Linked DNA regions of Rattus norvegicus. The protein of the gene in region 1 interacts with the protein of each later gene in a biochemical or structural test. Links are inferred from orthologs where the notes say so. Each region holds a gene or a part of one and is shown on either strand. Other genes may lie near its edges.

What was found.
Region 2: the proteins of Mcm5 (region 1) and Mcmbp form a complex in vitro, tested with the Homo sapiens proteins (2 studies listed by BioGRID). The link is inferred for Rattus norvegicus from reciprocal best matches to the Homo sapiens genes MCM5 and MCMBP.

Annotation. Positions count from the first base shown.
Region 1 is NC_086037.1:13,504,546-13,509,650, reverse strand, and holds part of Mcm5 (DNA replication licensing factor MCM5), read right to left. Parts: intron 4,702-5,105; coding exon 4,573-4,701; intron 2,782-4,572; coding exon 2,639-2,781; intron 1,367-2,638; coding exon 1,239-1,366; intron 449-1,238; coding exon 347-448; 3' UTR 1-346. UniProt on the Homo sapiens protein: Acts as a component of the MCM2-7 complex (MCM complex) which is the replicative helicase essential for 'once per cell cycle' DNA replication initiation and elongation in eukaryotic cells.
Region 2 is NC_086019.1:192,708,349-192,714,544, forward strand, and holds part of Mcmbp (mini-chromosome maintenance complex-binding protein), read right to left. Parts: intron 5,257-6,196; coding exon 5,133-5,256; intron 3,230-5,132; coding exon 3,112-3,229; intron 104-3,111; coding exon 1-103. UniProt on the Homo sapiens protein: Associated component of the MCM complex that acts as a regulator of DNA replication.

The DNA of each region.
Region 1 (5,105 bases):
CACGCACTTTATTTCCTCTGTACACACGAAGAAGCTTGACAGTCAGTGGCCCAGGAGCCAACATACAGACCTTTCTACCTCCAGAGCCTGTTCCTGCTCCAGACTCATCCTGTCGTGGAGGCAGACAGGGACTAGGCACCCAGACCAGACAGAGCCCTCAGACACCCAAACACAGTACATGAGGCCAACAACCAGAGCACATTTCCAGGGGCTGCAGCTGTGCGGCATACAGCAGTCTGAGGCAGGGGGGAGGGCAGAAGGAGGCTTGTGGTAGCGAGGACACTGACTAGAGGTGGGTGGGGCAGCTTCCCAGGCCCGAGGTTGATGGGCAGTTGATGGGCGGGGCTCACTTGAGGCGGTAAAGCACCTTGCGCTGCATGCGGTGCTGGATCTCCCCCCTGCGCAGCATGAGCTGCAGCACCTTCCGGATGGCATGCTCTGGATACTTCTGTAGGAGGGAGCACAAGTCAGACGCACGTGTGTATCGCACGTGTGTATCGCTATGACCCAAGGGAGCTGATGCAGCCCGGGATCATAGACAACTTCACAGCAGACAAAAACATTCACCTCCATTCTCGACTCATGCACAATCTCACTTTACAGAGGAAGAGAGCAGGCACAGACTGTCACTCGTTCTGTCACTTGTTTGGGTCATACAGCAATTAAATGAGCTAGGACTTAAGTCCCTGTGGCCCTTAAAAAAAACACACTTTCTCCAGCCCCAGCCTGTTAATACTAGTCTCTTATAGAGGGCCAATACTCATTACTACATAATTTACTTCCACAAGGAAACTGAGAGGAACACGGGAAAGGAAACACAAAACAGAAACCAGAGTTATCCTCATGATTTTAAAGGGCACAGGCGCCTCCTGACACACCAAACAGTCTCTCCTCTGCATGGGATCAGCAGCCCCCTCCCCAGTGGGCTACAAGGCTCACTCATCTGGTTTTGGGCATCCCTACCCTATAACGATCCAAATAAGGGAAAATCTTAAGAGATGGGAAACAGGCATTGGTTCCTGCAAACCTAGCTTCCTCCTTTCCCTATAGCCAACCTCAACTGTAGACTGTAGCAGTTCCTACAAAAGGAATGGTGGCTCAAACATCCCATCCCAGCACCCCTCTGCTGAGCACAGAACACTGCATGTGGTGGCTGAGTGGGAAGCAGACGAAGAGAACCAGCAGGACCCCTCTATACCCCGGGCCAGGGCTGTGGACCCAGGGTTAGGGAGGCTCACCTGTTTGGTGAAATCCTGGACAATGCTGTGTTCAGACACCTGGGAGCCGATAGCAAAACGGCGCTTGAGTTGCTTCTCAATGCGACTCAGCATCTCCTGGTCCTCCTGGGTCGTGAAGCCTTCCACCCCTGTGAGAGTGCAATAGGGAAACTGGGTGCTAGAAAGCCCAGTTCATCCATGTTGGAAGGGCCAGAAAGATGACAGCCTCTAACTAGAGTGGCCTGAACCCAGCCCCAGAGAAAATTAAAGACAGAACACAGTGTGAGAGTGGAGGCCTCACCAGAAAAGTGAAAATCAAGTAATATGGGGAAGAGAGCTCTAGGCAGAGGGAAAGGTAACAGAGGCCATGCAACAGGCACAGAGATGGGGTAACCATGGTAACTAAGAGTCAAGTGCCATGAGACCCTATGGGCTACACATACCAAGACAACAGAAACAGCAACAGAAAAAAACCTGAAGGAAGCAGTTTTTATTTGGCTGAGTTTGAGGAACGGTGTCATTGTACAGCCCTGGTTGACCTCACACCTCAAACTCAAGAGATTCTTCTGCCTCTGCTACAACCATGCCCACTGGAAACAAAGTTCTGAGTTCAAGAGAGCTAGGAGGGAGGGCAAACAGGGCCCTCTAGAATACAAATCTGAGAGATGCCATCCACCAGAAGCCCTGGGTAAGCGGGAGCTGTACAACCTTACCAAATAAGAAAGAGAACCACTCCTTCTCCAACACACTGCCCAGCTGTCACAGCCCTCTCCATTCCTTCCATTCACTACCTATACCTCTTCACCTATCCCACCAGAAGGTCAGGAGGCCTACAGAACGGGTAGGACAGGAACCTTGGGAACCACGTGCTTATAGCTCTGACATCTAGACCGCGACTGGCAAGTGCTGAGCCAGAGTTCCTGTCAGATGAGGGTGGAGGTGTCTAAAGAGGCTGCCATGTCACCGCCCTCAGGACTGGCTGAAAGCAGGCAGCAGACAGTAAGGCTCAGGGGCCCACAGGCCTGTATTCCACCAGGACTGGTGACCACGACACCACAGAAGTTCTGTCAGTCTCAACTCCATGACAGGAAGGACTGACAGCCTGGGGTCCCAGACTGTCACCAAAAAAAAAAAAAAAAAAAAAAAAAAAAGAGGCCAAAATTGGGAAACTACAATAGTTCTAAGCTCAACAGGAGGGCGGGCTGACAGCCCCTCTACCAGTGACAGGCCTACATTACTTATAATGGACTGATTTGAGGTCTACAGAGAAGCTCCTTCCTCCTCCAACAGTTAAAACATCCAGGAGAGAAGCAGGGGAAAGGCTATCATCAAAAGCACATCCAGGCAGCAGCCTGCAGGCCACCAGCTAACTAGATCTCTCTCCATCCCAGAGTCCAGCCCCACGTCCAGCACCTACTCACCCGACAGATTGCCAGACAAAGCGGCGTCCAGCGTGGACACCTGGAAGAGCCTCAGCGCCTCCTCGACGTCGGCCTCCGTAGCAAAGGGCTGCAGTTTCATCTTGCTGAGGGCCTCGGCGATGCGCACGATCGCCTCCAGCTGCCTGTGGGAACACAGCACACGGAGGGCTCAGCCCACACTCCCTCCTCTGACCCTCCAGGAAGAGCCATGGCCATGGTAGTCAGGACTGCAGAGGAGTTTGCTGCCTCTCCCAATAATATATCACCCTTTACTCCTTCTACCGAGCCCAATTTTTATTCCAGCACACACTGCCTGCTGTGGGGCAGTGAAAGACACCCTGGTTCCCAGTTAAGGAAGTTTGAACCCCGGAGACCCTAAAAGAGATGTAGGTGCTTTGCCTGACTTCCAGGAAACCAGGCCGGTCACTAGCCCACAGCCCTCCATAGATTTGTGACCATCAGCCACGTAAGGGCAACGCCCCACAGGTAGAGGACGTGAAGGTCACGTAGGCTCAAGATAGATCTGTTATAATGAGGTGCCTAAAGGCCTGGAGGCTTAGTCAATGAACTTTCCTTCCCAGACACTCCTCCCTGCAAAAGGTATTTAATCTCAGGCCCACTCTGAGAAGTGGGGATGGTTTTACTCACCCACTTTCTACCATGACAATAAATGCCTTGAAACCATGGACTGCCTCTTTTCATGGAATCCAACAGGGAGCCATAGAAGTCCTTTGCCTACTCCCAGTGATGGCTACCACCAAGCTCAAACCCACCACCGACAACCAGCCAAAAACTCTCCCCAGCAGGAGCTTCCCCCCCTCTTTTCCCCCTCGGCCCCAGACTAGACCCAGCCCCACTCCGTTCTCATTCTTCCCCTTTCAGCTCTTCCGCAGCATCCCAGGGGTGCCTAGATGCCTAAGAGCCTGAGAACTGCCAGCCTGGACCCCCCCAGCCAGCTCCAGCTGTGTCCTGCACTCAGACTGCACTTCCCCAACCCCAGAGAGGTGTCCCCAGGCTTCCAACAGCCCAACACCTGCCCAGCTGCCGTGTGAGCGAAGTCCCCACATCCTGCCTTCACAAGAGACCTGGGCCCTGCGGTGGAGTAGACACGGGACACCATTAATTCTACTGCCTGCTAAAGGATATTTCCTGACTTTTTGGTCTAGGTGTCAGTGTGACCAAGATGTAGCCCATACATTCTAAATCCACGCATCATCTGAAAATGTCAGAAGTGTCCGTAAAAAAGCATGTCTTCCTCCCACGGTCTCTCCTGGGGCTCAAACTGTGGAAATGACAGCTGACACTTCTAAAACCATCCAGGGCTGAAAGGTTGGCAAAGGTGAATGTAATGGAGCCCAGGCTGACAGCTCTGAAAAACCACCATGAATTACTACCTACTTCCTAAAGTTTAATCATGAAAATAAACTTCCCACTTAAACTACTCTCTTTGGGTTTCATCATACACAACCAGATCTACTTGTAACCAATCAATGCTAGAGGTATAATTCAGCCCAGGATGGCCCCAGCTCTTACTAGCTATATTGTCTATAAATAAATGACAACCCTAGTGGAGGAGGCATAAAGAATTGAGACCCAGTAAAGGTCTCTAGTTTCCCTGTAGTTACACAGCTGATCAGAGGCTAGGACAGAGTCCTCCCCTTTCCTCAGGCTGCCTCTCAAAGAAGGAAGCCAGGCAAAATACAGAAGTGAGGCCTACCCAGGCATCCCTAGCCTCAAATACATACAACACACACACACACACACACACACACACACACACACACACACACACACACACACACACACAGAGAGATAATTAGGAAGCCACAGTACATGGTCCCAGAAGCCCAGATGACCACACCACACCCATGTTATGAGAATAGCAGTGACCAAATAGCCCTGCCCTCTGACGTGAGCCCACTTGCATAGCTCACCGCACTGTGATGGGGATGCTGGAACGACGGTCAATATCCCTCTCATGCTGACGAGCCCCACTCCGCATGATGATGTAGCGGTTCTTCAGCTTCTCTGCTGCCTCTGCTGATAGCCGAGGTCCACACCTCCTGCAGACGGCAGAGTGAACTAGAGTAAGGCCAGAAAGGAATCCGAGGTTGCCCTCACCCTGTTCCCAGACCTCTATTGTCTCACAAGATGAATGTTCCCAAACAAAGCTTTTTGCTCATAATATAAGTGGCGAGTCATTTGAAAGAGATTTAAGAAAAACTTGACCTGCCTATCAGCAGGTGTCAGAGATCTACATGGCACATCTCTGAGAAAGTGGAGTAAGAGTCTGAACATTTGTGCAGAAAACTACTCTTGATGCTGGCTGCAGTGTGCTGTCTGGCCACGAGGTGTACAATGTTCTACCAGTCACTGAGGGCCCCAGAGACCAGGAGGCCCACCAGGGAGCAGGCTTCCCAGCAGTCTCCAGCTCTACCTCCCTGATTTAAGAGGATAAGAAAACTGA
Region 2 (6,196 bases), on another chromosome or scaffold:
GCAGCTGAAGGAGGCCGCTGACCAGTCGGTTGGCTGTATAGTCTTTGTGGGGAATGAGTTTCAACTGGTTCATGTTTTCTATTGTCATCTGTAGACGGAAAGACTGAGACAGAAGCTGTAATAAGCAAGTTTCTCTATTAAAAAACCCACACCCACAGGCGTGTGTTTAGAGAGAGAACGCCTTTGTTTCACATGGAATGATATCATTTCTAAAACGGAGACAGATGGTCTCTGCAACTCTTAGGAACTATCTGTGGCCACACTCCGAGCCACACCTCTTCTAGCTGCTTATGTCCCACATTTCAGCTGACACAGTGCACGCTGGAGAGGTAAGGGCAGCCAGGGATACAAAATGGTAGACAGCTGTGATAGCCAAACATCAGACAGCCAGAAGTTAAACTTCATTAAGGGACAGGAGCTAGTAAAATGTGAAGACTGTGAGTGACGTCTAGTTGCTGAGGCAAGAACACAGGCTCTGTACATTAAAACAGACCATGGCTCGACTCATTACCAACACTTCAGCCCAACGTAGGGACCCTCCACACCCTGCCTCCAGCCCCCACCACACTCAGCTCCTTCTGTCTGCTCTAGACACATGGAACTCAAGCATGTTCCAGCCTTCAGGAAAGCATGCAGCAAGAGAAGAGGGAAGAGAGAGAACTAGAATTTAGAGAATTTTGTACTTTGGCTCAATTATTCTGAGAAAGGAGGGCAGTGGTTCTTTACAGATACGAATGAAATCCCAGAAGCAGAGCTTGTCAAAAAAGGTGGCTGGCAGCCCATTGGTTGAGAACACTTGTTCTTGTGTAGGGACATGGGTTCTATTCCCAGCACTTATATGGTGGCTCACAACAATCCATAAATCCAGTTCCAGGGGACCCAATGTCACAGGCACTAGACATGTACGTTGCACAGACATACATGCAAGCCAGACACTCATATACAAATTTTAAAAAGTGACCATGTGTTGGGGCTGAGGTTGGCTTTGCCACAGAACCACAAGCAGGACACATGTAATAAGCAGTAGAAGCTGAATGTTCCATTCCAGAGAGAAAAGCACTGAGAAGGGCTGGGGCCAGTGTGCTAAGAGTGACGAAAGGGCAGACAGTCAATGAAATGCAAAATAAGGAAAAGAGACCCTCTAAGCCCTTTCCTCCACCCTCCCTCCCCCAGGTAAAGATGTAATCCTGGCTGCACAGCTGAGACATAGATGGTCTCTGGCGCCATCTTGTGTCTGAGAGTGGTACTGCACCAGCCTCTGCTGGCATCCCTTACACAGGCCCATGCTGCTCCTTAGATTGCCTGTTTTCTATGTAGGAGGACATGACCCCCCAGGCAGTCACCAGTTCTGCTCCAGACTGAGTCTCAGACCCTATTGGAGAGATGGGCATATGTCTTATGCCAGTGTCTGCTATCCCATTTCCAGGGCTTCACTGTTCTGCTGAGAATATTTAAAGCACACACCAGCAATTTGATTTTATACCTCAAAACCAGGAAGTTCTGAGGACAGAGAAGCAATCTCAGGAGACATGGCCTAGGGAACCGCTAAGATCCTATTTCCGGGTCTATGAATGAGTCACGTTTACAGACAGAACAGGCTTTACCACAGAGATGTGCAAACTCCACTGACAGACAGGCTTTCAGATCATGCACCTCAGCTAAGAAACAGACCAGATAAAAACAGCACCGCAGGGGCAAATGTGGAAGCAGAACAGAAAACCTAGGGGTCTCCTGTAGGTTGATGTCTACATGCAGGTGAGGGACAGCACCAGTTAGGTCAAGGCCACGATTGGACAGTAAAATATAAGGTGGGGACAAAGCTTTTGTAAGGCAGGACAGAAGGAGAAGGAGGGAGAATCAAGATGGAGACAGAGGATGACCCAGATCCCGGTGGTCCTGAATTGCTAAGGGAGTTGGGATGGGTTTCTGTAGGCAAATTTATCTTATCTAGTTGGGCAGTTTATATCCTTATCAATTGGTTGTGAGTTTATTGTATTATGGACTGAGATATAAATCTGATGTTGGGTTGCAGTTTGTTGAGTCTTGATTTTAAGGGGTGGTTGGGAGTTTATATCATAACTATTAGGGGGCAGATGTTGGGAACGTAAACAGAGCAGTGGCCGAGCGTTACCAGAGGATAGCTGCTGCTGGGACCAGGGGGTGGATGCTGGGAATGTGAGCAGAGTCCACAGGAAGAGAGCTGCGAGACAGGCGGTCTCTGCATGAAACTGGCATGGCAGAGACTCGCCTTGGGAACTAGATGGTAGAGAGACTGCTGCCAGGCTCAGAGTAGCCTCGGCAGTGTGAGATGGGATGGAGCTTAGCGGGCGAGACCCCTTGCTGACTGAGATGAGAATATCCTGCAGGTGCCATGTGGTCCTACGGTCCGGCTAGCGTGGGATAAAATAATTCCCCCTCTTTTTTTTTTTTTTTAACCAAAATAGTCTATTAATTTAGACACTCAAGAGCACGGCAAAATGCAAGACACTGTCAGTTTTACCACTATTTCCTAATGAATTACTCAACATGTCTTCAGTCTTAATTACTAATGTCAGACATTAGTGAAAGCACAGCCCACTGAATAAGAGGCTCAAAATCCTCAGGACTCTGCTGCTTCTGCAGGGCTTGAAGTGCAGACTCGACAGGCTGTTCAGAAGGACCTGGCTTCACTTCTTAAGTCCCAAAGTGGCCAAAATTTTTAGTTATCAGAGTAAATCCGGTCCTTGAGATCCTGACACAAATGTGCATTCCAGATGCTTCCAGATAGCAACAAGCCCTGGGGCGTGGAGATGGGCCACTTTATTACCTCAGCTGAGAGAACCAGGCTCCTATGATTTAAAGCTTCTTTACACTTCATAATATGCACACAAAGGAACAAACTCACACAGACTGGAAACGTAATTCTAAGGGAGTCACTGCCACTGCGTTAATTTTTAGATTACAGATTTGTGCTGGGTCAATCAGTGAATGCTGGGTGCATTTTAAATTATGTCAATTGGCAGGTCTTGTCCTTTGTAAATGAGACCCACTAGGAACATAAAGTTAATACTCAAGGTGAGTGGAAAACAATTGGGTTTGTCCCACTCATAAGCCTTCATAATATTATCTTACTGCTGGAACAAGATGTTGGATGATCCGATATAGGTGTTCCGTGAAGGTGCTGTTCTGTGGGCAACCACTCAGGTTAACTGTAAATTTTCCCAGTGGAAGTACATCTCTTCTTGTATACCTAGGAGAAGGGAAAGAACACAAAACCAAGGGTAAGATACTGAGACGCCATCATTATAAAGTTTGCAGAAGCAGAGAGATGGCTTAGTAGTTAGAGCACTGGCTGCTCTTCCAGAGGACCAGGGTTCAAGTCCCAGGCCCACGGAATAGCTCACAACCGCCTGTAACTCCAGTTCTAGGAAGATGCCGTCTTCTGACTTCTACAGGCACTGCATGCACAGATATGCAGACAAAATAGCCATACATATAAGGTAAAAATAGACATTTTTTATCTATCAGAACGGCAGTTAAATAATAGCCACTTTGAGGAATGGGGAGAGCATCCCTTATCCAAAATGCTGAGACCTGAAGTGCTTTACAACATTTGCAGATTTACTGGCTAGGCCTGGCTGACATGAGCTGGTGGTCACTGCCTCACCATCTCACTTCAACAGTGTGCCTATGACGCAGGCACGGCAGACTTCCTGAGTTCCGTGCTTTTCCATGAGGGATGTCTAGTCAAGCCAAGACAGAGCTCTGATGTGACCCTGAGCATTACCCGCCATCTTAGCTGCCACCAGGGGACAGGAGATAAGATGCTTTCTATCACAGCATTTATTAAAAAAAGTACAAAATCCTAATGTTTTGGGAAATGGTTACAGTATGGCACAAATCTATAATGAGAGAACATCAGGTCATTAGAAAGCTTAGGAAGAAGGCTGACTATGGTGGCATGCCCTTAATCCTAGCACCCAGGAGACAGAAGCTGAAGGATCTTGATGTAGTTCCAGGCCAGCCTGGTCTACATAGAACATTCTAGGCCAGGACTACATAACAAAACCTATCTCAAAGAGAGAAAAAAAAAAAAAGTATTGTGATAGGCTAACTAAATATTAAATCTAAAAAGCAGGTAAGGATGTGTGTGCTTCAACCACAACTGATGGGCCCACATTACAACATAAACCAAAGAATATGCTCGAGTATTAGATGGGAAAACTGTTGCCCACGTGAAAGATAATTTTCTTCTTGCTTTTCTTTTTGGGGGGGAAAAAAAACCAAAAAACCTGCCAGGTAGTGGTGCTTTAATCTCAGCACTCAGGAGGCAGAGGCAGGTGGACGGATCTCTGAGTTCAAGGGAAGCCTGGTCTACAGAGTGAGTTCCAAGACAGCTCCAAGACACCCTGTCTCAACAACAACAACAACAACAAAAAAAAACAAAACAAAAAACAAAAAAACAAAAAACAAAACAAAAACAAAAACAAATCCCAAACCAACCCAAAAACCCAATATGGTGGAGTGAAAGGCCAGGCCCTAGCTGGGTGTGTGGTGTGCACTTCTAATTCCAGCACTTGAGGCAGAGGCTGGAAGAGACCTGTGAGTTCGACGTTAGTCTAGTCTACAGAGCTAAAGACGAGCAAGGCTAAACAAACAAACAAACAAACAAGCCAAAAACAAAACAAACAAAAAACATGTCTCAAAACAAAAACAAACAAACAAAAACAAAATAAAAAATTGAACCAAAACAGGGTGGAAGCATTAAAGTCAATACACAAACTAAATGTACACAAAGACAGACTTCATTGTTTTATAAGCAGAGCCTGGAGAAGTATACACACATAAACAAGCAAACAGGGTATAGGGAGGAGACCAGGAGATACAACATTTGAAGTATATACAAAATAAAAAATAAAACGAGTGCAGAGAAACCAACAGTTCGTCTTACTCATCAGTCACATCCCATCTGGAGACGGAAACAAATGCGTTATGTGAAACGAAGTAAAGTGGGGAAAGGAGTCTGTGTTTGGTGCAGCATTTGTAAAAACCCACTTGAAGACAAAGCTGATTTACTAAAAGACACAAACAAACATCACGGCTGTTCCCTTCTTTCTCCCACACCCCAGTTCCCAGGAAGAGCACAGACTTACACGGTGGAGATGAGATGCAATATAAGGTATTCAGCAGCCAAACTGTCTCCCAAGAGTGCATGAGTGAGGAATCCAAGCAGCTCTGCTCTGACTGGAGACAACTCGGACATGAAATTGGACACAACTGCAGAAGGAAGGAATGGCCAATGAGAGTGTGCACGTACAAGAGCAGGAGGGAGTACTACAATTCTTGAGACAATGATGCCATTAGGGTAAGGCAAGATGGCTCAGAGGGTAAAGGCATTTGCCACCAAGTCTGATGACCTAAGCTTGATCCCCAGGACCCATACAGCAGCAGGAGAGGTGGATTTTCTAAGTTTTTCTTTTACCTCCACATCTGTGCCCTGACACACGCATATTCTACTCTTCCTCAGTGGGAGGACCCTCCAGAATATGCCAGAGATCTAGGAGGTAAGAGACTCTCAGGATTTAAAGGAAGGGACCTGAGATGAAATAAATGCCCTACAGTGGGGAGAGAGAACTTGTACAGTCACCTCCAGCAGAAAGACAGGACATCAAGTGGGATGGGGTTGGCATCCCAGTCAAAAACTCTTGACTCATAATTGTTCCTGTCTGAAAAATCTACAGGGACAAAAATGGGGAAAAGCCTGAGGAAAAGGAGGTCCAGCAACAGGCCCAAAGTAGAATCTAGATCAAGGAGAGGCACCAAGGCCTGACGCTATTACTGAGACTATGGGATGCTCACAAAAAAGGACCTATCATGACTGTCCTCTGAAAGACCCAACAAGCAGCTGAAAGAGTCAGATGCAGATATTTACACCCAACAATGGACAGAAGCTGCTGACCCCTGTGGTAGAATTAGGAAAAAGCTGGAGGAAGCTGAGGAGGAGGGTAACCCTGTAGGAGCACCTGCAGTTTCAATTAAGTTGGACCCCTGAGATCTCTCAGACACTGGACCACCAACCAGGCAGCACAGACCAGCTGAGATGAGGCCTCCGACACATGTACAGCAGAGGACTGCCAGTCTGGGTTCAATCAGAGAAGATGCACCTAAGCCTCAAGAAACTGGAGGCTCCAGGGAGAGTGGGGTTGGTCTGGTGGGG